4 linked regions of the Coturnix japonica genome follow. The protein of the gene in region 1 purifies or fractionates together with the protein of each later gene. This does not show direct contact. Links are inferred from orthologs where the notes say so. Each region holds a gene or a part of one and is shown on either strand. Other genes may lie near its edges.

Region 1 (6,646 bases):
CCTCACAATACAGTTATTAACTACAGTTACCGGAAAGAAACTCAAAACCACATTTCCCAAATTTGGGACATCCACGTCTTCTCAAGTAACATTAATCACCACTGCAGAGAGGCATCAGTCTCCCAGCTGTAAGATCCAATAAATAATACTGATATTTCTGGTCAGTATTTAGGCCGTTAGAAGATTGTCAAGGTTTGGAGCTTTTTGCTCTAGTTTTATTTGGTTTACTATTACTGCAAGCCTTGCAGACTAAATGGGGAAAATTCTGTATTTAATAGTCACTGCCCATTTTGCAACTAAGTTTTAGTGCTGTTTTTGTGGATCCCAACCACTAAACTTTGAGCTGAGGCAGGACATCCTCAGAGTTTGTCCTGCTCACTTTATACAAGTTGAGGCTGTTTGGCAGCACCCTGCCCTTAGCTAGAAAGACTCAGTGATTACCTATGGATAGCACATACTGCACGCGAGCTAAAGCACATGTCAAATAATAACAATAAACAATATCAGAACACTTGGCACAGAGCACAGGTTGCAAACCAACCGACAGCACCTTGCTCCTGCTACAGGAGCAGGAAAGTCAGAAGAGGCACCAAGTTCCTAGTGCAGAACTTCATGTTCTCAACTCATCCCACAGCACAGATTTCAAAAAGCACGGAACACCAGCCAACAAAATCTGGAAGTCAGTCAGCAATGCTTTCCATTGTACAACCCCCTGCCCTGCTCTGCCGCATTAAATATTGCATAGCAACACCACACAAGTCTTCAAACTTCCATCTCACTCGCAGCTGTATCTCAGTGAGTTAAGCCGAGCATTTCATTTGAGAGCAGTGGCCTCTTTGGAGGCAAAAACTCAACACAGCACCCCGTGAGTAATCAGTACAACTCAACCATGAATGCATTTGTCACGTACCAACAGCAACACGCAGCCACAAAGTCAATACATTGACAGCCTGCTGCCGCTGCATGGACACATCAACTGCCACCACACATCGAGCTATGGAACAGAAAAGAAAGGCCATTTTCATGAAGCTGATGGTAGCTCTCCTCCAAACAAATCTGCAAAATATTCCAACACAGTTTTTAGTGCGACAAAGCTTCAACAGAAATACTTCTACATCTCCAACAGAAACAAATATTTAACCTCTCCGGCTTGACTAAGAAACGACACACTTTGCTAAAAATGCCCTTAAATGTTGAGAATAAATGAAAACAAATGGTTATCCAATGTCACATACAACGAACAAAGTAGAACTTACATCAAGGCCAACAATTAGCAGAGTCCTACTTTGAAAGCCAGTACAGACATGGTGAACTCATTTTCATCTCATGCGTACCAGAGCCTTCCTCCTATGGGAACTGAAAAGTGTCTGCTTTGTTAAGGAGATCAAGGACAACGTTTGCTGGTCTAAAATCAAGTGATACGTGACCCACATTTGTGGATAGAACTGCTGAAGGGGCTGAGCTTACACCTGTACCCGCACACTGCTCCTCAGCTGTCACAGCGCATTTTGGGCACTTCGAAAAGGAGAATGGCATCAGAAAAGCTCCAGATGAGAAGGAATTAAAGCACTCGGGCCTTTACTATGCATAAGGATGAAGCCCCCTTTTTTTTCAATAAACCAATTATTAGAAAGCTTTTAATAATATAGCAGCAGATGACAGATACAGATATATGTGCTACAGATAAGTAGCGTGTGTATATAAATATCACGTTTACCCCCTCAACTCACTCAGCTGAACTGCAAACGAGTTAAAGCCCAGCAAAACAAACAGCAGAAGCCCCGAGCACAGCCCCCTGCGTACCACCACCACCGGGCCCTCGCCGGCGTCTCTCAGCACAGCGCTTTCGGCCCGAGCACCGCTCCGCTCCGCGCCTACCTGCGTAAGTCGAGGCGGGAGCTGAGCCCAGGGCTGAGGGCTGAGGGCTTTGGGCCGCCCGACGGCTCCCAGCGGTTGGCAGCGCTCAGCGCTCATTGCTCCGCAGCGGACGGGAGGCCCGCGAGCAGCGCCCCGCTCCCGCTCCCTCCCCACACCTGTTCCCTGCCCCTCCGGCCGCGCCGCCTCCCGGCCCCGGCGCCACCGGCCCCACATCGACGGCGCGGCCGAGCCCCGGCGGGGGGTGGAGCGGCGGCCGAGGGACGCGCTGAAGGCGCCCGGCCGTCAGGGGACGGAGCGAGGGAAACCGCCGCCAACGGGCCGCCCAGCGCCGGCCTACCTGAGCGTGGGGGGGTCTCCTGAGCCAGGCTCCCGCGAAGAGCCGCCTGGCCATGGCAATCACGCATCCCCGCAGCGGGCGGCGGACGGAGGCGGAGCGGAGCGCGGCGCTTCCCCGCCCGGCCTGTCCAAGGAGCCGAATCGCCGGCGAAGGGAGGACGAGGAACGCGTAAGACACGCAGCGCCGGGCCGGCAGCTGTCAGCCGCGGGGACGCGCCACGGGGAGGGGAGGGAAGAGGAGAGAAGGGGAAGGGAGGAACGCGGCCGCCCAGGGCCGGAGGGGGAGAGCGGGCGGGGCGGGGCTGCTGCTATCCCCGCCCTGCGCTGAGGGAACGGCCCGTGGGCGCCGGGCGCTGCGCCGAGCGGAGCGGGGCTTCCTGCGCGGGCTGTGTCCGTTCGAACTGGGCAGCTCCGAATGACTGAGTCCGTTAATGAATAACGTGCCCCGCTGATTGCAGGCAGGTTCCGTCTGCCACTCGCTGGGCGTTAGAACCAGCTGAGGGCCCACTGGGCCCACACAGTTAAGGAGGGAACCCCGGCCCTCCGCACCGCCGCGCTCTGCAGGCAGGTGCGTACCGTGCTGTCCCTGTGCTACGGCCTCACACTGCGTCCGCTAACAGCGACAAGAGCGAGTTTGCTGATGGAAGAAAAAATACATGATTACGCTTGTCATAGCCACAACCTGTGACCGTAACGGCGGGCAGGTCGGGTCAGGCTGCTAGGGAAGGGCCAGGCACACCGGGCAGGCCTTGAGCCTCACTGCGTGACTGTGGCAACAGTCCATAGCACTGCTCCTCCTCACAGTGGGTTTGGAAGGAAAGCTGAGCCAGGAGGGATGTGGCATTGGCCTCATCTGGTCTCTTGCCCCACAGCAGGGCGAGAATTAGGTGCCTCCCACAGCTTCACATAGTGTGGAACGTAGCAGACTAACTGCCATTAGTAGTAACGTGATTTGGTTCAAGTGTAACTGCCCTTAGTCACATGAATTTTAACTTGCTTCCATCTGGTCACATGTATGACTTAGTTACCTCCTTAGCAACAGGTCAGAAGCTATAGGGGATTCCTGATGCTTTTTGGCTGTGAGGCTTTGGGTGAAAGGATTACAGCACAATGTCAGGGGAAAAAAAATGATTGTAACATGCTCTGGCTTTTGGCGTTGTGTGCTGCTTTAATTAAAAGAAAGGATACAGAAAGATGGCATAAGAATAAGTTGTGGTGTCCTAGCAGGGATTAGTCTTAAGGAAAGATACATATCTAGAAACCAAATGTTATGAGGTCATAGAGTATTAAAAATCAGCAAGATTTAAAGAGTAAAATCTTTAAGATTCAGGAATAGTCCATGACTGCTTTTTGAATAATATAATCACTGCCAGACTCAGCTCACTCTGAAGAATAAATCAGAAAATTAATTAGTAAGATTTGGCACTCCTGCAAAAGCAGCCCTGGTTTTAATAACACTCTTGCAGTGAGAGTGTTCTCTTCCTATTCAGCAGGCCCAGATGGCTGTGCTTTCTGCATCACTTCCCTCTACAGTTCAGTAGTTTGTACGAGCTTAGTGAGATTACAGGCACGCAATGGAAAGGTGACACCAGGAAACTACAGAGCAGGCATTTAAACGTTTTGCTGAATAATCTCAAGTAATTACTTCATCTAATGTTCTGTGTCAATCCTTGGAAGGAGAGGCTGAGAGTAATCATGAAATGTGCTTCTCCCATATGGCAGGCGAGGACGTAAATGTTTTGTTTCTGTTAAGACTGGATCAAAACAGTTCCTGGCATATGTTCATTAGGGGATATATTTTTCACTTAGTGCATGAGATCTTAGTCATTTGTGAGAGCAGCTGCTTTATTCCGGCACTGCAGTGTTTAGTTATTCTTAAAGTCCTCTTTGTGTCCAGGCTTTACTAGATGATAAAAAGGCAATTTCAGCCTTTTTCAGCTTATCCCTTAAACACCAAACTCCCAGTTAAGCCTTGGTAAATGCAAAGCTTGTGGCATTTTGCATGTGCAAATGTAAATGGATATTTTAAAGACCAGGGAATAGATGCAATAGAACATAAGTCATAGTGATGTATTTACTGAACCGTTTTTCCATTTGCTCACGCTTTTCCATTCTGTAGTTCACACATTATTCATTTTTGTATGGCAATAACACATCTCAAATGCAAAAGCAGTTGAAGTTACGCTGATTTATTGCTACCTGTTAATATTTGCTTCCTATCCAGCCTTGCAAAGATTGGAGAGACAAATCCACTGATGATTATACGTATGCACTGTTTATCACTCGGTGTTAAAGGTAAATGTGGCCTTATAATAACTGCATACCATCACTTCCAGTACTGTGACAACTTAACAGTCACTGCATACTAAATAGGACTCAGGAAAAACTAAGAGCTGTTACATGTATTGAAGCATCCAGGAATTTTGGACAAGCAATATTTGACTAATAAAGATAATAGAAAACTATAGAAAAATCTACATTCTTCAAGGTACTTATTAAAATTCTGCATTATATTAATAAAGATGCACATTATATCTAAGTTCTTCTGATGGAAGGATCTGTTACTTGAGCAAGTAATACAGGTTTTATCATTTTATTTTAAAGCTAAACATTAACTTATTGCAATGTAACTGAGCTTGATTCTCACATAGGAGACTCCATGGGAAATCCTCAGGGTTCACACATTCTTATCACCATCATATTAATGCAGGACGCCTCTGGCTAATGTTAGTAATCATAAGATTAATAATGTTAATAATCACAGACTTCCATACAGCAGCTTTACAAGCTTTACCCACAAAGCACAACTTCCTGCATTAGCACTCTTACCCAGGATATGCCAAAGAAATGTTTTGTCATCCTGGGCAGCATCTCAGCTTAACCCCCAGTAGGAATGGAATGTGTCAGCATCTGCCAGTTACCTTTTGTTTTTTTTAAAGTTTAATAACTGTATTTACATGGTAAACAATGCGTTAATGATTTTAAAATAAAACTGCTTTTCCTAAAATGAAGTCTATAAGGGTGTCAAAGTTTCACTCTTTGTCCTGCCTGGCTGTCAAGATGCACATTCAGAGATCTAGCCAGGAATTTGGTTTTATTCTGACTCCATCATCCGGTTTGTCAATGTGGAACAGAATGAAGATCTGGGGACACACTCGTCAGACCTAAATTCTTCCTCATGTTCCATTCAGAGTGAGATTCTTTCCCTCTCCTGTAAACTTCTCTGAACTCAAATTTAATCAGTGCATAACTTTTATTTTATCCTTTTTTATCCTTAAATATTATTTCCTATTGCATTCAAATTCTTACTAGTGTCAGTGCTTCTAGAGAATACATAGGTGGAGCCATCTCTTACTCAGAGAGCAAACAAAGCCTGTTAAGGATTCCCTTGTGGCTTAACTTGTTGTAAGCAAATCATTAATCTATTTGAGGAAGCAGCATCTTCTAGCCAGCAAGTTTTATTTCTAAGGCCATACTTATAAATATATATAAATCTGGCCTCCTGCAGCAGCAGAACACATTCCTCTTGCTGCTTACTTTCATTCTTGCGTTGGCACAACCATTTCTGTTATTGTGTTAAGAACTAGGACAATAATTTCAACTATGAACTGTTAATCGTACTTCATTTTTTCCCTGGGTTAGGTCAGACAGCCCAATTCCTTTCATCAGTGTCTTGGACTTATGCCAAAATTGAAGTGGCTGTTTCTAACCACTGAAGCTTTTATCTTATTTAAACATATCTGTATCAAAAATTGTGTTTTATTACAGATAGATAAGTGACAAATACATGCGACTCATTGCTAGCTCTTCACTGAGATGAGATCCTAGTATTATTAGACATTCAAAGATGCTGATTAAGTTGGGATAAAGGCTCTCCAGTCCTTGCTTTGAGAGTCTGTCCACTAGCTTTTCTGGTATGTTGTTTAAAATTCAGAATACACTAGAAAAATTAAAATGCTTACGGTAAATAAAACTTACTAACATGTTTACAGTAAATAGGTCTCCACAGATTGAGAATAAAAATCTTTATCAATTCGATTCCTTTAAGGATTAGAAGATGGGGAAGACTCCAAAGACACTCCATTCAGAAGAAAATTGGAAAGAAAGCACTTTGTTGTTAATGGTCATTCATGAGCAAATACTGAAACAACACTCAGCATTTTTCCTCATTGTTTGAAACTCTATACAAACAACACAGTTAAGATTCAATCAACCAATAAAACGAAGTTTCTTTTATACACACAATTTCCATTAATTGCTGTCATTATGGTATCCAAGATTTTCTTAAGATTAATTGGGATTGTTAAAATGTGTGGTCTTGCTAGCATTGATCTGATTCCACTTGGGAAATCAATTGATAATTTTTTGGCAAAAATAATCTGTTTGATGTTGGAAAATGCTGATTAGTTATCCATTTCTTTGGATTATCAGT
Region 2 (5,919 bases), on another chromosome or scaffold:
GACCACACCTGTGCTGGGGAGGGCTCAGCTCCTGGCGCAGACCCAGGGTGCTCTCTGCACTGGGAGATGTGCTACTGGGATGGGGCCGTGCCCTGTGTGGAGCCTGGCACTTCCCAGAGCAGCAGGGCAATGGGTCCAATCCTGGGCAAACGCCGTCCTGCAGCACCGCTCCAGGCTGGCACACAAGTCCAGCAGTGTCCAGCATGTGGCACCAGGCCACCTGGTGGCATATGTCTCCTACAGGACAGCCCCATCCTTCAGGCCCAGCCCCCTGCTCAGGGCAGAGCCAGCCTGCCACCTTCCAGCCATCCCTCCAGCCAGGCAGCCACCCATTCTTCCAAGCTGCCCAGTCCCAGGCCTGAAGAAATGTCCCTGCAAAGGCGCTGCTGAAGGACAGCAGTGGTGTGGGAGGTCCGTGGTCCCTCAACCTGAGAGCACCCTGGGCAGTGCATGGGGCCCAGCTGCCTGACTGAGAAGGCTCAATTTAAAGTGCTTTTTTCTTTCTCTTTTTGCATGGGGTGCTAATGCCAAACCTCACTTTGTCAAGGAATATTTCCCCCCTTGTCCCCAAAGCCAAGGCCAGCACCAGAATGCCAGAAACATCCAGAGCTTCCCCTTTGTCAACACACAGAGCAGGTACGAGTGCTGTGCTCTGCTCACACCTCACCACTGCAACACTCAAGCAATTCTGTGCAGATAGGCAAGAAATCACAACCTGCCATGAGAGCATGCTGCAGGCTGCCTCACGCTCCTGGGTGCATGCTTCCTGTGGGTTCCTCTTGTGCTTGCAGCAGCACTCCTGTAACACCATCTCTAACCAGCCCAGAGGCTTCCCTGCCCAAAGAGACTTTTGCATAGTGCTGCTCTTCCTGTCCCAAGGAGCCACATGCTGGTGGTCTCTTTTGTCCAGCCCAGCTGAGGCAGAGGGAAAACAGAGCCCCAGTGATAGTGGCTGTGGAGCCTAGCGACGTGCAGGAGTGTGGCCACATCTCTATGGCTTCCAATGCTGTCACTGCCCTAGCCAATGCAACAAAACAGGCAGCAAAAGGTAGCACCAGAGACCAGAGCTTGTCCCAGACAGGGGCTGGAGGTGGATGCCAGCCCTGTCACCCTTCAGCCATGCCCTCCAGGTCTCAGTGCACTTCACTCACTCTTGTTCTTCTAGCAGTTGACAGAAAATGGAAAGAGACTGAGAACTGGCGACTGTCCCTCCTCCTGCAACACAGCTCTTCTTCAAGCCCCAGCTGCTTGGTCCCTCCAGCCCAGATTACCAGCAGTGCAAGGTGCTGGAACCTGCCCCATCCTGGGGCTGGGCAGAGCTGCTGTCCTGGTGGCAGCCACTCATGCTCCTGCCCTGAGTCTCTCTCCAGGTGTTTGGGTGGAAAGTAGCACTTGTGACACACACAACAAGGGGAACACGAGCAGCAGTCATGTCAGCGTGAAGCAAACATGGCATTGCTTACAAGGTGCAGCAGCAAAATGTGTGGGGATCGCCCAGCACACGGCTTAGATGATATCGGTCTCCCTCTCTATGCCAACATACTTCAGGGCATCTGCCTGGCTGTACCTATAAAACAGGAAAGCCACAGCTGCTGTAACAACCTCTGTGCTCCTTGCAAACGTGCACACAGAAAGTGAGGTCAGCCCTGCCCCACAGTCCCCAGGCAGCCTCTCCCTGTGTTACCGGTAATCAAAGAAGAGCTCCTCTCCCGCCTGGATGGCCCTCTTGGCAAAGATTCCTATCCGGTGGTCTCCATTCACCATCACAACTGCAACCAGAGAGACAATATCAGAGATGTGCAACTGTAGTCCAAGTCCAAAGGTCACAGAGCACCAACAGCCCAGCCTGACCATTGCCAGCTGCAGAGCCAAGGCTCCAGAACTGCTGCTCAGCATAATGGAGTAACATCCTAGCCTGCTCTCTAGCAGTGATCTCCCTGCAAGGACAGAGCTACAGCAGAGCTGAGCAGAGCCCCAGCAGTAGTAATGCGATTTGCAGCCACAAGGAGAGTTTGCCTACGTCTCTGATGCTCTGCAGCTGTGATGGACTCAGTGTCACTTGGGACCCCACTGAACTTCTTGTGTTCCTAGAGCTGAGTAGGACCAGAGATTCTTCTTCCACCTTGAATGGCCTGTGTTAGGATAGCTCACCTTTGGCATAGCAATTGGGGTTCACAGAGTGGTTGGCAAAGCGGATTTTATTTCCTTTGCGAGTGGCATCAACAACAAAGTCTATTGAAACAAAGAAAGAAGAAAACTCTGCAGTGTCCTGTAAACACAAGGCTGCTGCTCACACAATGCAGGAATGGAGACTAACCCCTGACAGCCCCTTCCAGGAAGCCCAAGCCTCCACCACCCCATGAAAGCCCCCCACAAGTTACCATTGTTGAGGTTGAAGAGGAAACTTGACATGTACTTGTCATAGACCTTTCCTCGACGGTCAGCCTCATCCTGTGAAATAAGCTGAAGAAAGAGAATGCCTTGAGAGAGCCTCAATGCCTGCAGGCATGGTAAAGATCATGTCAGAAACAGCACTCTTGTATGTCCAGAAAACACCTCCTGCCCCTCCGCAAAGGGGTGGGAGCTCACCAGGGCTCAGGAGAAGTAGAAGCAATAGCTGGGCTTCAAGGGATCAGCACACACCACCTTGTGGGGAGCCTAGAGACACTAAGATGTGTCCCAAAATGGTACAAGATTCAACCTCTAAGCTGGGTCAGAGTGAGTGCATGGCCGTAACTGAACTAGAGAAGGCACACAGTCCCTGCTGGATCAGCTGCTGAACAGAGTGTGTCCTCCCAAGCACACAGCACAGCACGCCCAGCAAGGGCACAAGCACTGACCTCACCACAGTATTCAGAGATGAATTCATTCTTCTGCACAGATTCTTTGATGAATGTCCCCCAGCCGGCAACATCTGATGGCGCCAGCAACAAATGCTTGAGCCAAGGAAAAAAGAAAACAGTTTCAGATGGCAGACCCACTGATGCCCAGCATGCAAGCAGTGCAGAGGTCACAGCCCAGGTGTATGTGTATGTGTATGGTTTAGGGCAGGAGTAAACAAGTAGCCATGCTGTGCAGGCTGCAGTCCTCAGTACCACGGGGGCAAATAATGCAGAGAAGCAAACAAGAAGTCAATATCTATCCAGTTCCCCACTGTAATGTGACACAGTTATATGTCACAGCATCAATAAGCTGCAGCTGCACAGTACTTAACACCCACTGAATTTCTGCCTCTTTTACCTGCAGTACTTTGTTCCGACCAGCAAAATTCAGCTTTTCTATGGTGTTACTTTTTATACTACCTTGTTTTCATGCATTCTCATTTATCTCCCAGCTCCTGATTTTCACATCAGTAATCCATACTCTAGATTAAATGCTATAGAAGCCTGGGGCAGAGCAGCTTCTTTTTTGATTTTTCTCACTCAGACAGCTTTAAGTGGCTCACAGCCTCTCCTCTGTAGCAGGAAATCTGTTTACCAACTCTGCCCTGAGGCAGCCCTTTGCCAGAGCCATGCTCCTATCAATACCTTTTTGAGGCCGCGCTGGATGCTGCAGTTCTTGCAGGAGACAACCTTGCAGTCCCAGTGCTCTGATGCCCCGCAGGTCAGGCAGAGGTCTGGATCGCATTCCCGCACGGCCAAGTAGCACGGACACTGCTTGGTGTTGCACTGGGTCTTACAGCGGCAGCCTGGGAAGCGATTCTGACCTGCAGAAATGCAACCCATATTTCTGCATGACAAGATTTTTCATAAAAGGGGAAAAACAAGTGTGGCAGAGCAGCAACTCAGCTGACCATACAACCTCCTTTTATGCAATCAGCAGCATCACCCAGGGCTTACTGATTCTGGATACAGACATGCGGGCAAGTGTTCTCTAACAAGGGAACACATCACCAGCTGCTGTTACAGGATGTTACAGGACATCATGGACCACAGCCTTCCTTTGGACTTTATCAGACTGGTAACTGCACTGCTGCAGGTAGACCAAAAAGTGAAGGCAGAAATAAAGCAAGCCTTCATTAAGCACCAGGTCTGCACCCGTCCTCTGGTCTGTGTCAGGAGAGCAGCTGCTTTCATACATGACAATCCTAGGGTTTTCCTTACAGTCAGGGTTGCACTGGCAGAACTTCTCACAGAAATTTTGGGTCATAATGCAAGGACAGGAGCTGTCACAGGGATGCTCAGGATGGTCACAGGGCTGGTAGTTGTACACCTGGGTAGGTGAATTATCTAAAACAATAGGAGAAAAGCCAGGATTAGAAGCTGTACTTTGCAGAAACACTTCAAAGAAAGCAGCATTCCCAGGGCTCTGGAGCAGAGCACATGCAGGTTCCTGATTTGCCTGCAGAGGGCGGGGAGCGCAGCAGCACTCAGCTCAGCCAAATCCATCCACACACTGCTCCAATTACAAATGTATGACACATACACACACCCCTGCACAGTCCATTTCACACAGACTACATGCCAAACCTCATCCCTCCTGACTAGAGAAGGACTGCACTGCACTCAGAACCTGGCAGAGAACACTTGCATGGCAGCAGTGCATGAGGCAGAGCCAGGGTGGCCCCCAAGAAGGCTCTGCAGTGGGGGCAGCTCACCCCCACATCACTGCAACTGCTGTTATGGAGAGCAGGACACAGTGTCCTGCTGTGGAAGCCAGGGCTGGAGAACCAGCCCCCACCACATAAACAATGTCTAAGCACAACCACAGCAAACAGTACCTTTCTTCAGCTGAATTTTCCTGCAGTGGGCAGCCCACAGCCTGGAAGAGAAGCAGAGAAGTGTCAGGGGTGGGAGAGTCACAAGCCTCCATCAGGAACAACTGGCCGGTACTGTGTTCAGCACTGCCAGTTAGCACTGCAGCAGGGGACAAGTGAGTCCAGCAAGGCTGTCTGGCAGCTTCATGCATTAATAACCATCAGCTAGACACAAAGAGGTGAAAGATGAGAACGACTCAGCTACAGCTGAAGTTATTTAAGGCAAATGTGAAAGCCAGAATAACACTACATACAAAATGTAGGTTATAAGCCAGGGAGGGAGCTCAGGCAGAGACTGCTGTTAAGACAGCGAAACGGACTTTCAGCAGTGCAGCTCTTGGTGCAAGACATCCACTGTGCTGCCTTCTGCTCCAGGGCTGAGCCTGAGGCCATAGAACCCCACAGCTGCCCAACCAGGACGGCAGCACCAGTGACACAGCAGGGATCAGCTCTCAGCCAGCAGCACAATCAGCCCTGTGTGACTGCGAGAAGCGTATGCAGATGGGAGCCAGATGCGGATTACCAGGAATGCTTTGGCACAAAAAGCAGTGGATCTGGTTGCATTTTAAGAACAAAACAAGGCTGTCCAACACTCGCCTGTGCTTCCTTTTCTTCTTCTGGGATGGATTCATCAATTCATTTGTTGGCAGTTTTGTTATAAGTGACTCTTTCACTGCAAACTGAAAGACCTACCAAAAACAAACAAAAAACAACAACAAAAAAACAACCAAGAACAGAAACAATAGAATAAAGTTCAGTGCACTCAAGCTGCCTTTATTTAAGCACAAATGAAGAAAGCATAAGCACACACACAAAGTGTGCACAGTGTGCAACTCTGCTCCCAGTTTCATTAAGTCATGGACATCTTTGCTTTTCTTGCCTGGGAAACAAGATAATCCACTTGCCAATATACCCAGGCCTGGCATAAAGCACTCTGAAGAAACCTAGCAGAAATGGACAGCAGTACTGTAAAATAACAACACTGAACTTCCAAAGTGTCGATGCAACACCTTCCTCAAAATTGTTTGGGGCAGAGAAGAAAAAAATAATTAAGTGAGCAGCAGAAAGGCTTCCTTCCCTTGTGCTAGGTGCTGCCATGCCTGCTTCCCCTGGGCATACAGCCCAAACTAGAATGTCAGGCCCTACCTGCTTGCATGTCTTTG
Region 3 (4,881 bases), on another chromosome or scaffold:
TAAAAGACAGCCAAAGTAAAGCAATTTCTTTCAAGTTTTTGTTTTTTCCTCTCCCATCCCTTTTCGCTCTAGAAAAATCTGCTCGCGTGACCGGAGAACAAATTAGAAAACTTTAACCTAGTCAAAAATGGGTTAAAAGCCTTTGTTGGTTTTTTTTACCCCCTCCCCCAGTTCCCAGAAAGGCTTCTTTATTTTCTCAGCCCCAGGGTCAATACAAATTAATATCGATCAGCCCCTCTCGCCGCTTTTAAAACAGTGAACATACGGCAGTTTAAAAAAATCAGACTGCTGTATCTACCTATCCTAAGTACAAAAACAAAAGAAATCCAACAGTTTAATGCTAAAACAAAATTAGTTCTCTAAAACCAGAAGAAAATCTTCTTTAGAGCTAGTGCAAAGACAGCTTGTATTCTACAGCAAGTACTCCAAACTATGGTATAATAATTACAAAAAATATATATAAATTGACAAAATGAGAGTGTTGGCATCTTCAGGATTAACTTGAAGCACTTTTGGATGAACTGGAGGATGAAAGCCTGGATGATGGCACGTCGACTGTCGCTCTCTTCCGAGGTCCTCTTTTTGGTGTGGGCTTGCTGATACAGTTCTCAATGCTGCCATTTTTACCAGATACTTTTCCACAGATTTGATTGACCAGACTGATTATTTGTTCCTGTTCAGGAAGTAGGAAAACAAAACACAAGTGAGCATCCTTCCTTTTTCCGAGCACCTCTGTTTGATAAAGCGGGTGTAGCGCCATCCTTTGGTTGACGGCACCTATAACCAGGGGGAAATAGCTGCTGCTTTGCTAACTGACTGCACGGCAGCCCATACGACCACTATTTCACAGGTGGGGTCTGCCTAAGAAGCAGTGCACTATACCTGGAATGGTGCCCCTGCTGTAGTTTCCTGCCTCTGAGTGCAGAGTCAGCGATGGGTGACAGGACTGCACCAGGCTGAGCACTGGGCTGCACAGATACAGCTCAGCAGAGCCAAAACTTTGCTGCAGACATGATTAAAGGCCACTGCTGAGCAAAGTCATAAATGCCATGAACTTACTGAAATCTGCAAGTGGCAACGCTTGCTACCTGCTGTTTACTGAATACTTATTTAAAACTTAGGGAGAAGGTCCTGCTTTTCCCTATTGAGACTGTTGCCATTTGTTACAGGATGCTATTTTCCGTTACTGCTTTTAAGGATCTCTGGATGCCCCAAGTGCTCCAGGCTAGTGCTTGGTGCCACACAGGGCCCAGGGCTATGGGTCCGTGGCAATACAGTAAGAACGAGACAGGAGTCCCTGAGCAGCACAGCACAGTGCCTGTGCTGCATCACCACTCCTGCTCTCGCTGCAGTCAGTGGCTCGGTGAGGTCTGGAGTGAAGGGAGAATGTCCCCTCCTGGCAGGAATCTTAAGAAGTTGGTTGTGGGCAAAGCACAGCTAACAGTTAAATAGGTTTAACAGATGGCATTTGACGTGAAGAATTGCTCTCTCTCTCCCTGTTCACAGCTCTCAAAAATAAATTATGTAACATCCAGCAGGCCTACACTGAGTATCCTTCAGAAGTGCAGAAATCGAGAGAGTCTTTTCATTTGGGGAAGAAATCCCCAAATCCCTGCTTTGTAATTATAAAACCAGTCATTACTTTATGTGGTGCTGATTAAGAGTGGCTCAATAGAGTTATCAGTACTGTGAAGACCCAGGATATAAGAGCCTAAATAAGCTCAGGAATTAAGAGAAATGTATTTAAATTTCCAAGGAGCCTTCTGGCACTCCTCAGTGTATATACCACAAAGCCAGCTTCTCTGTTGCCTGGAATCCTAGATTGTACCTGTTTGTAAGCTACAGCACCTGACAGCGCAATGGAGCCCACAGTGAAAATCAAAGATGGCCAGAATGGCACAACTTCTCCTAACTTTCTCTTTTTTTCTCCCCTCTGGACCTCTGTGCACATCAGTAGCTGCTGAGACATCCGCCTCAGAGCTGCTTGTTATCAGCACTGCTCTCAAAGAGCCAATTTTGTATTCTCCCATGGCGTCCCTACCCACGGCTCAGACTAACTAACAGCCCCTCCTCTGTCCAACCCACCCCCAAACACAGTTTTTCCACAGATGGTGCTGAACAGGCACGTAAGGAGCACTGTCTGAATGTACTGCAATGCAGCACTTGCCCAAAATCCCGACTCAGTCCTAAATCACTGCCGTGAGTTCCGTGCTCATTATCTATCTCCACATTGACTCCCAGCCATTTCTGTGAGCTCACATATATGAACCAGCAGCAAAAGAGAAAAGCTGTGACGACTGCACAAACCTCATCATAGCGGTACATCATTTTCAGTCCCCGACAAGACTTCTGTTTCTCCACATGCCGCAGGGCACACTCCAAGCAGAAGACAACGTTTTCATTCTCCTGTACAACCTACCAAAAAAAGAACACGTGGGGGAAATGCGGTGAGCTCCAAGCTGAAGCCAGAGTATGCTCCTTGTGATGTATCATTATACCTGTATATCACTGTAAATCAGTGAAGGGGGGAGTAAACAAGATGTGCATACATTGCAAGACGAGTGATAATGTTGGCAAATACTTACTAATTAAAAAACACCAGTAGCAACGAAGGATAAATCTAATTAATGTTACATGTATAAAGCCTTACTACTATCTAATGTGTGTCCTAAAAGCTTCTTGAAAGCAGCAGTTTCATGTCACTTTAAATTTTGCCCTGAGTTCAAGCAAAACCAGCAGTGTGGCCATGGGACCCCCAGCTACTGTCTGAGCCAGCAGAGGTCACACTCAGCTTCTGGCTGCCGCACTGACAAGTTCAGCCTGGAATTGAGCTGGTTGCCTTCGTGTCTCTTACTACCATTATGAATGACAAAGTAAAATCATTTCCTTGATTACATTTACATGACTTCATTGTCTCCCCAGCATCCAAATTTTTGGTTGGTTCTGGGTTTTTTTTGTTTTTTTTTTACAACTCGGTACCCCAGCTGCGGCTCAGGACTGTACTCACCATGGACAGATAGCACAGGTGCTGACAAATCTGACATCTTCTCTCCGACGTTTCTAACTGCAACCACTTTCGAGGCTTTTTCTTTCCATCCACTGCCGTGCTGCTGCTGTCATGGCTGCCATAGCGTGCCGAGGAGTGGAGACCTGCCTCGTAAAGCTGCCGCCGCTGCCTCAGCTCCGTGTCCCTGTGAACATTGGATGCAATCAGAAACCACTGGTTCCTCGTAGCACCACAAAGCCAACCAGCCAACCACAGTCACCCTTTTACCACCATCGTCACTGAAATCGTAACTGCACACAGCAAAGCCCTGAGTGTTGCTGGAGGTTGGTGCCATACCCTACGCATGCTGAGAGCCAGCCAGCACCACAGGAACACTGCCTAACTGCAAAATGTGACCACTGTATCAATCCAGTGGTTCTCAAACTGCTCCACAAAGCACTGGGGGCTGCCGAGTACTTCTTCGAGGTCGGTGGGGACCCAGGGCATGTGGAGAGCTGAGCCATGTAGCTGACAACACGGCTGCCTTTCCTGAAGTTGCCAAAAGCCACCTTGAGGAGGAGGAGCCGTTGCCCCCAGGAGTAGCACAGCCACCTTCAGCAGGAGGCCAGAGAACCAAGGATCTGCTGCCGGGAGGTGCGTCACGCAGGAAAGGGGGAGCAGGGCAAGCAACCGTGCCAAAAGACGAAGACCTTGCTGCATACCCAGGGGAAAAAGAAGGGGATATCAACTAAGAACAACCACTGAGCCCTCAGGCCGCCCTCCACCCGCTGTGTGTGCAAGGTGGCCAGCGCGTCCTGTACAGAACTGTACAGCGTTGCGGGAGCAGGTTGGGCCGGAGTAGCGTGGAGTGAGCTGAGCAGATGGAACGGGAGAATAGAGACGCTCGCCACCAGACACAGCCGAAGATGGGTGGAGAGCCATGCTAAGCAAATGGCATGGTAGGTCAGGAGAGGAGGCAGCGAGACACAAAACGAATAAGCAAAACAGAACAGAACAAAAAATATCTGGTGCATTGTTCCACTTTGGTTGTGCTTTTCTGGTTTGGGGTTTCGTTTTACATAAGCAGCCACAGGAAGGACTGATATTCTCCAGAGAATTCCAACCTCAGTATAAGAACAAGTTTGAGAACCACTCTGATAAAGGTCGATGTGATCTCTTACATCAAGCACCAACATCTCTGTTTCACCTTTCACACTTGCAGACTTTTCCTCTTCAAGGGGAAAAAAAAAGAAAAAAAAAAAAAGTGCGCATGGAAGTGATTATTCCTTCAGGGGAACCAGCTGCAGGTAAAGCAGTCAGCACACCTGGTAGGGGGAGTCAGCACACCTCTTTGTATTTCTTTCTGAACACTACAACAACACATGGGCTGTATTCCCCTTCAATATGTCACTGGAAACTTTCCAAATGAACATGCTAGTTAGTTAAATACAGTTTGTAGATTCCATTCATCAAAACTTTCTTGGCATCTCGAGTACCAGTTGTCACAAACTTGAAAGATAGGTAGCAACTACATGGTAGGGAACAAAAGAGAAGAACATTACACAGGAAGCCAGGCAACATCATATTTTCTATTTTACCTATCTTAAGAAAAACCCTAAACATGTTTCCTTAATCACTGTGGAGAGAAAAAGGAATGTGAAGCTTTTGTTTTTAAGTGTTTGCATGCATATAAGCTGCTCACTGACTGTTTAAAGAAAAAAATACCTCTCTGCATACATTCTTCAACTGCAGTATAACAATATTGATGCTGAAGACAAGGGTTCCTGCTGCAAAACCCATACTACTGGCATGGATTGACGGCAGCTACCGATGCCAAGAAGTTAAAAACTAAGCGGTACTTAACAGCTTGGCACCATGTAGCCCACATAACACAT
Region 4 (5,919 bases), on another chromosome or scaffold:
AGACGAGCCTGCTTATTTAAAGACAATTCTGACAGTTTCTAATTAAGGACTTCTACTATATTCCCCATGTAGAAATAGGAACGTCTAATGCATTTCCCATTTGGATTCTACAAATACACACTACACTGAATTATGGTAATACCAACTGGAGGGCCACTCAGTCCCAAATATTTTTTATTATTTCTACTCATCTCTCAATCAAGCAGTTCTGAGACTCCACTACTCTCCTCCTTCATGCCTAATTATATACGCTGTCCAGATTAAACCTCATAAATCTATTGGCTAACATCAAAATGGTATCAAAAGGACAAAATATACAGAAGTCTTGAAATTCAAAAGTAGGCCCACAGCACAAACTTGACGGTTGGAAGAATCAGAGAAGTTCCCAACTCTAATTCTTATGGAAACAATCGGTGACACTGATTACACTTCAGTCAGAAGTCCCCTTATGTTACCAGCTCTAGTATTCCTGAAGGCTTGCTCCTGAGGCAAATCAAATATCCCCTTACTTAACAAAACAGTCCAGATTAGGAAACTGTGATTGTTTAGACTGGACAAGTCTATGAGACATCACAGCATAAACTTGCTTCTTTTTTCACGAATGCCCTTTTCACTCAAAGTCCTAAGGAAGTTTTCCCTTTGCAGGCAGTGGTGAATACTATCTGCAACACTAAAATACGCCCACTAGATGGCACCAGGCTTCAACAATTGAAAGAAGTTGAAACCAAGTAATAAAGGTAAGAAAAAACAACTCCAGTGCTTGCATTTCTTTCCTGAAAAAACAGTGGTGTACACAATCCCTTCGCACCACAGGTATTTTTTTTATTGTAGGCCATGGATTTAAAATGTATCTAATACATATCCAAGAAGACCAACGCTTGCTCTAGACTTCCAAGGTAAACTTGTTCAATCCCACTAGTAAAATTTTCAAAGAATTGAGAGATTTTGGCCATTTTCAAGATCAAAAATCCAATCAAAAGTATCCTGATTTGTACAACAACATAAGTGGTTTTTTTTTCCTCACCTTTGCTTACAGATAAAAGGAGATTTGGATCTCTTGGATGGAATTTCAGTTCATTGATTGCATTTCCATGACCCACGTAGTGCTGGGATAGAATTCAGAGACCAAGTTATAATCTCCCCTCACATTTACATGTACTTAGAAGACATGTTTCATGCCTTACAGAAACATAAGCTTCATTTCAAAGTTCTGAGCACTTACCTTTATGCACTGCATTGTAATAGGATTAATTATCCTAATAATACCCCTGGATCCTGCCACAGCAAGGAGAGGATGGCTTGTATTACTATCATATGTCCATGCACAGGTATAGAAGTTTTCATCTGCCTGCATCTTACGTTAAGGAACAAAGAAGAGACTGGAGGTTTTTGTTTTGAGCAAAATTAACTTTAAATATATTTTTAAAGTGCTTTTCCAAGCAAACTTGTTGTCCATGTGTCCACAAATGGATCCAAGAATAATTAAAAAAAAGAATATTTGATCATACAACTGCAAATAATAATCAGTACTGACTTTCCTAGAGATTTCCTCACTTCTGTTTATAAAACACATAAGGACACCTTTCTCTTGGCATCACTTTTCAATCTTTCTCCAAAATATCAAAAGACTGGGAATAAAAATGAGGATGAATCAAGACCCAGTCAGAAATCAGTAACCTGTGAACTGCAACTGATCAACAGAAGTTATTACCACTTCAGAGCATGAAACATAATTCTTAGGCTTGAAATCCAGTTCCAATTCAGAGAGCTGAGACCACTGTAGAACATGGAATGTGAAACTCTGCACAAATATTGGTGTTGGGAAGACTGAACTGACAGAGAATCAGTTTTCAAATACTTTAAGACAGCACGTTCCATGAGTCTGCATTTCTGATATTATTTCAATACGAAAGACTCGAGGATGTGGGAAAGACGAAAGAAGGCTAAGACCCAATAGGAGGAATGTGCCACATGAGCAGGGTATTAAATCACAGAAAAGCCTCTGTGTTCTTTTTCCTACAAAGCCTTCACTATTATGATGAAGAGGAATCAAGCAAGTGTGTTTTTACTTAAAAGGATACATCAGCATCCACATAGGACTGTAACAGGCGGATTTCTCCTTGGGAGTGGCATTCATATAAAGTAACCTGGGGAAAGAAAAAAGTGAGAGGGATTGTTACTTACTTGTGATAGTACAAGAGAAAACCAAATACACCTGTGCACTGTGCTGTTTGTGGAATGGCAGTATGCTTCTATGGTTTAGCTCTCATCTCACCTGTTTATCTAACAGTGGGTTTAATAAAACAATGTGCCCAACAGTTTTAGTAAAGCAGCATTCCAGGACTTGCTAGCAGCCCTTCCCAGATATTAAAATATACTCTTTGAATATTCTCTACTTATAACTAGTTACTTCATCACCTCTAACCAGACCTAGTCTTTACATGAGCATTTGATATACAGTTAATTTTAGTTTAGCACTTTTGTCAGGTTGGACAAACCTGGAAATGAGAGACTTCTTGTTTATGTGGAACACTTCCATAGGAGGAACTTGAAGACTAAAACAATGTAGAGTCTTGTTCAGAAAAAGCCTATAAAATCAGGCTATCAATTAAGCCTTCTAGAAACAGTAACATCTAAGAAGAATAATTTCAGTGAGAAGATACATTTATGCACCTGTCTTCTTTAACATATGTTCATGTTACTAGCAAAATTTTAATTACCACAGAGGCTAATTCCCAAGCAGCTAAGGCATGGCATCATACTGTAATTCAGAGGCAGAACATCTCCAAGATAACAGACACTACATACCTCATAAATACGGCTTTCTATGCAAGTCACCGTATGTTAGTACTATACACAGGTAAGGGGTTTCATTGAAAAAAATGAATGCAAAGAAAAGCAACAGGAGGTTGAAAACAAGTTACTTACTCTGTTGCTGCCTACAGTGGCAAAAACAAGAGGATCGCCTTCTTTACTGTGCCAGTTAAACTGGACTCCAAACAAAGGCTGACCATGGTCCTCCTGCAGATGTAAAGCAAGGTTAGAAAAAAAATAAAGCTCACAAACACATTATTTCTGTGAAATTCAGCTGTAATGGGAAACAAATTGTTATGTTTTCCCCCCAAACTACTAGGTTCACACCCAATATAATTTCATATAGCGAACAGTTAAGAAGAACAGTTTTGTAACATCACATTCTAATTTGGCTGTCTTCACAGAGGATAAAGCAGTATTTCTTTCCTCTCAACAAAGTTTTAAATTCTAAGGGAAGAACTGTTGCCTCACAGCTGAGAACAGAAGTTGGCCCAACTACTGCTTACTCTGCTTTGCATCTTTCAACAAGGAAACCTCCTAAGGTCACGTCTATAAGCACTTTATATTGCTGTAGTTACTTTCACACAGGGATTTACAACATCACAAAGGAGATCTGTTAGGATTGAGAAGAATTATACTGGTGTAAGGGTGGAGAAGGGTTACATTTCACTATTACAGCACAGTTAGGTCTTGCAACTCTATCACAGGCACAATGAATTAACTCCAGCATATCACAAAGCTGCTGCAAAGTTCATGTCTACAAAATGTTTTCAGATCTCCTTCACAAACAGTTATCAGAAGAATGTCAAGTATTATTTTTATAACATTTTACATCAGTTTAAGGGGGAGGGAGGGGGGAAAGAAGCAGATATGTTTACAAATCACAATGAATATGGTGGTGCTTGTTATTAATTGATAACAGTATTTTGGCCTGTTCTGACAGGATGTTTTCAGCAAGAATAATGTTCATTAAAGTGCCTCCCCACAGGGGACTGTCTGGGACAGTACAGGCAGGAAGGAAGTGTCTCATGATGGCTGTTAAGCAGCCTTCAAATGGCAGTGCTTCAGAGACAACATGAGAAATATTAGCCCTGGCAGCTCTGACCCATACAGGAACCACAAAACAAATTTGAGGAGGGGGTATGGGGTGAGGAATTCAATTCTACTCAAAAACAAAACAAAACAAAAAAGACTTGCTAAAAAGGAAGTTAGAAAGAATTTGAACTAGGCCATATTTACTGGGAAATGCAGTATCTGTTGTTACCTCAATGGGGACAGCTAGAAGAGCCAAGTGAAAAAAATAGCTTTGAGTGAAGGCCCTCCTGCATCTCATAAGGAGAGGCACAATTTTCAAAGCTGAATACAAATTAAGAAAGCATGTTTGAAGTTGAACTCTAAGCATTAGCCACTGTAACATTAAAGAACAGGTAGCTGTTTGATGGGGAGCGTGGGAAAAGTAGCAAGGTTATTAGTAACCCCAGTACAGAAGAAAAAAGAGGAGGTATTCATCACTAGTACAGCGTTAAAATTAAATTAAGAGACACAGAATTAGGAAAACACCAGGGTATCTGCCTGAAGTTATGCTTACCTCATTTAAACTACCATCATCCTCACTGGTCAGAAACAGCACGTGCTATTTTGATAACACTGATAACTGTTTTAATCTTTGTACCTGCTGCTTACTAGGTTTTCAAAACATTACACTATTAGGTGCTGCATGTTAGTTATCCTGAGAGGCTGGATCTGTCACAACAACCTGACTCCTGGCTTTATAGACAGTTTGACCCAGATATAACAGTAGAATGGTGAAAAGCCACTTTGACCCTGGTATAAATAAAAGGCATGGACTCAAGGTACTTGGGTTCTTCATGCACCAGAAAGAAGGCAAAGAAACAGATCCTACAGTTGCTATAAAGGTAAACAGATAATCAGCAGTTGGTTCTGCCCTCACTCACTAAATAGCAGCTCAACTTCGGCCAGACAAAATAAGGTTAGGCCTGTTTTTAGACAGAAGGCAGCGAAATAAACACTAAGCCAACACAAAATAATCACCTGCAAGTACATGAGCCCATTTTAAAATATCATCACCCACACTGCTAGTGAGGCACAAACTGACCACACATGCATTCCTGGTTCCTGAAGGGGAAGCAAACTACCACTAGAAGTGGTTTTAGCTACTTCTCCCTTACTCGACAACAAACTAGAATCCAATTCCCAGGTCCAGGGATAGAAAGTAAAAGCTGAGATACTCCATTCAACAGCTAACAGCTATTCAACCACACCCTGAACAAGAGGGAAGGGTAGGGCAAACTGGCATTGTTCTGAAGGGAGCACATCAAAGCAAAATTCCTCTTTGCTGGAAGATCTAGAAGAAAAATTATATGCAGAAGTGAGGATGTACTTTGTTAGTTGTATGTGCTCATTTATAAACTGTGTCGCCACTCAGCCCACGGACAGCAAAGACTTTTTCAGTATACCTTCCAGTAATGTAGTGCTGTAAAAAGCAATAAAATAAAGCACTTTTTGCTTTCCTGTTATTTTCCAAGTTATATATTTGTTTGCTTGATGCTTAAATTTCAGCCAAAATAGCTTCCACACTAGTGGTTAAAAGGCATATTTAGCAAGCACTGTGTTTTTCAGACTGAATCATAACCATCTGACATTCAAAGTAGTCAGCAATGGCCATGTTTCTTTGTCTTCAGGAGGAGAGAAGAAAAACAAAGGAGAGAGGGAAAACTAAGAATAGGAAAATGAAAAAAAAAATCTATACATCTCTAAAAAATATTAAAATGAATTTCTATGTCTTTAAATCACGTTGACTTTTCATTTATATCAGTACGTCCATCTTACAGCACAGTTCAAAGACAGAATGAGATGCATTATGTGAGATCCAATGAGTTTAATGTCCCTCTGGACCAACACACAATATTCAATTGTTACAGTTTATCTAAATAGCATCTGAAATATTAAGAATAAGAAAAAAGAAGTGAGGCTTCCCCAAAAATGAAGTAAAAAGAATTACCTAACCTGGCTACTATTTGTTCTTTAAACCAGTTCAAAGAGAAACTAGAAGACTTAGAAATATTATATCTTACTTAGCTGAAA

What was found.
Region 2: the proteins of MTF2 (region 1) and EZH1 purify together in Homo sapiens (affinity purification with mass spectrometry; 3 studies listed by BioGRID and IntAct, with this or other methods). This does not show direct contact. The link is inferred for Coturnix japonica from reciprocal best matches to the Homo sapiens genes MTF2 and EZH1.
Region 3: the proteins of MTF2 (region 1) and JARID2 purify together in Homo sapiens (affinity purification with mass spectrometry; 3 studies listed by BioGRID and IntAct, with this or other methods). This does not show direct contact. The link is inferred for Coturnix japonica from reciprocal best matches to the Homo sapiens genes MTF2 and JARID2.
Region 4: the proteins of MTF2 (region 1) and EED purify together in Homo sapiens (affinity purification with mass spectrometry; 3 studies listed by BioGRID and IntAct, with this or other methods). This does not show direct contact. The link is inferred for Coturnix japonica from reciprocal best matches to the Homo sapiens genes MTF2 and EED.

Annotation. Positions count from the first base shown.
Region 1 is NC_029523.1:12,156,583-12,163,228, reverse strand, and holds the start of MTF2 (metal-response element-binding transcription factor 2), read left to right. Parts: upstream 1-2,267; coding exon 2,268-2,383; intron 2,384-6,646. Other genes in the region: DIPK1A (divergent protein kinase domain 1A), read right to left, coding at 1,879-1,974. UniProt on the Homo sapiens protein: Polycomb group (PcG) protein that specifically binds histone H3 trimethylated at 'Lys-36' (H3K36me3) and recruits the PRC2 complex, thus enhancing PRC2 H3K27me3 methylation activity.
Region 2 is NC_029542.1:4,621,034-4,626,952, forward strand, and holds part of EZH1 (histone-lysine N-methyltransferase EZH1), read right to left. Parts: coding exon 5,903-5,919; intron 5,446-5,902; coding exon 5,354-5,445; intron 4,762-5,353; coding exon 4,721-4,761; intron 4,230-4,720; coding exon 4,104-4,229; intron 3,707-4,103; coding exon 3,528-3,706; intron 2,937-3,527; coding exon 2,841-2,936; intron 2,464-2,840; coding exon 2,382-2,463; intron 2,233-2,381; coding exon 2,152-2,232; intron 1,770-2,151; coding exon 1,685-1,769; intron 1,568-1,684; coding exon 1,507-1,567; 3' UTR 1-1,506.
Region 3 is NC_029517.1:67,711,747-67,716,627, forward strand, and holds part of JARID2 (protein Jumonji), read right to left. Parts: intron 3,192-4,881; coding exon 3,008-3,191; intron 2,416-3,007; coding exon 2,308-2,415; intron 674-2,307; coding exon 497-673; 3' UTR 1-496.
Region 4 is NC_029516.1:170,401,608-170,407,526, reverse strand, and holds part of EED (polycomb protein EED), read right to left. Parts: intron 3,022-5,919; coding exon 2,929-3,021; intron 2,148-2,928; coding exon 2,082-2,147; intron 1,349-2,081; coding exon 1,223-1,348; intron 1,107-1,222; coding exon 1,025-1,106; intron 1-1,024. UniProt on the Homo sapiens protein: Polycomb group (PcG) protein. Component of the PRC2/EED-EZH2 complex, which methylates 'Lys-9' and 'Lys-27' of histone H3, leading to transcriptional repression of the affected target gene.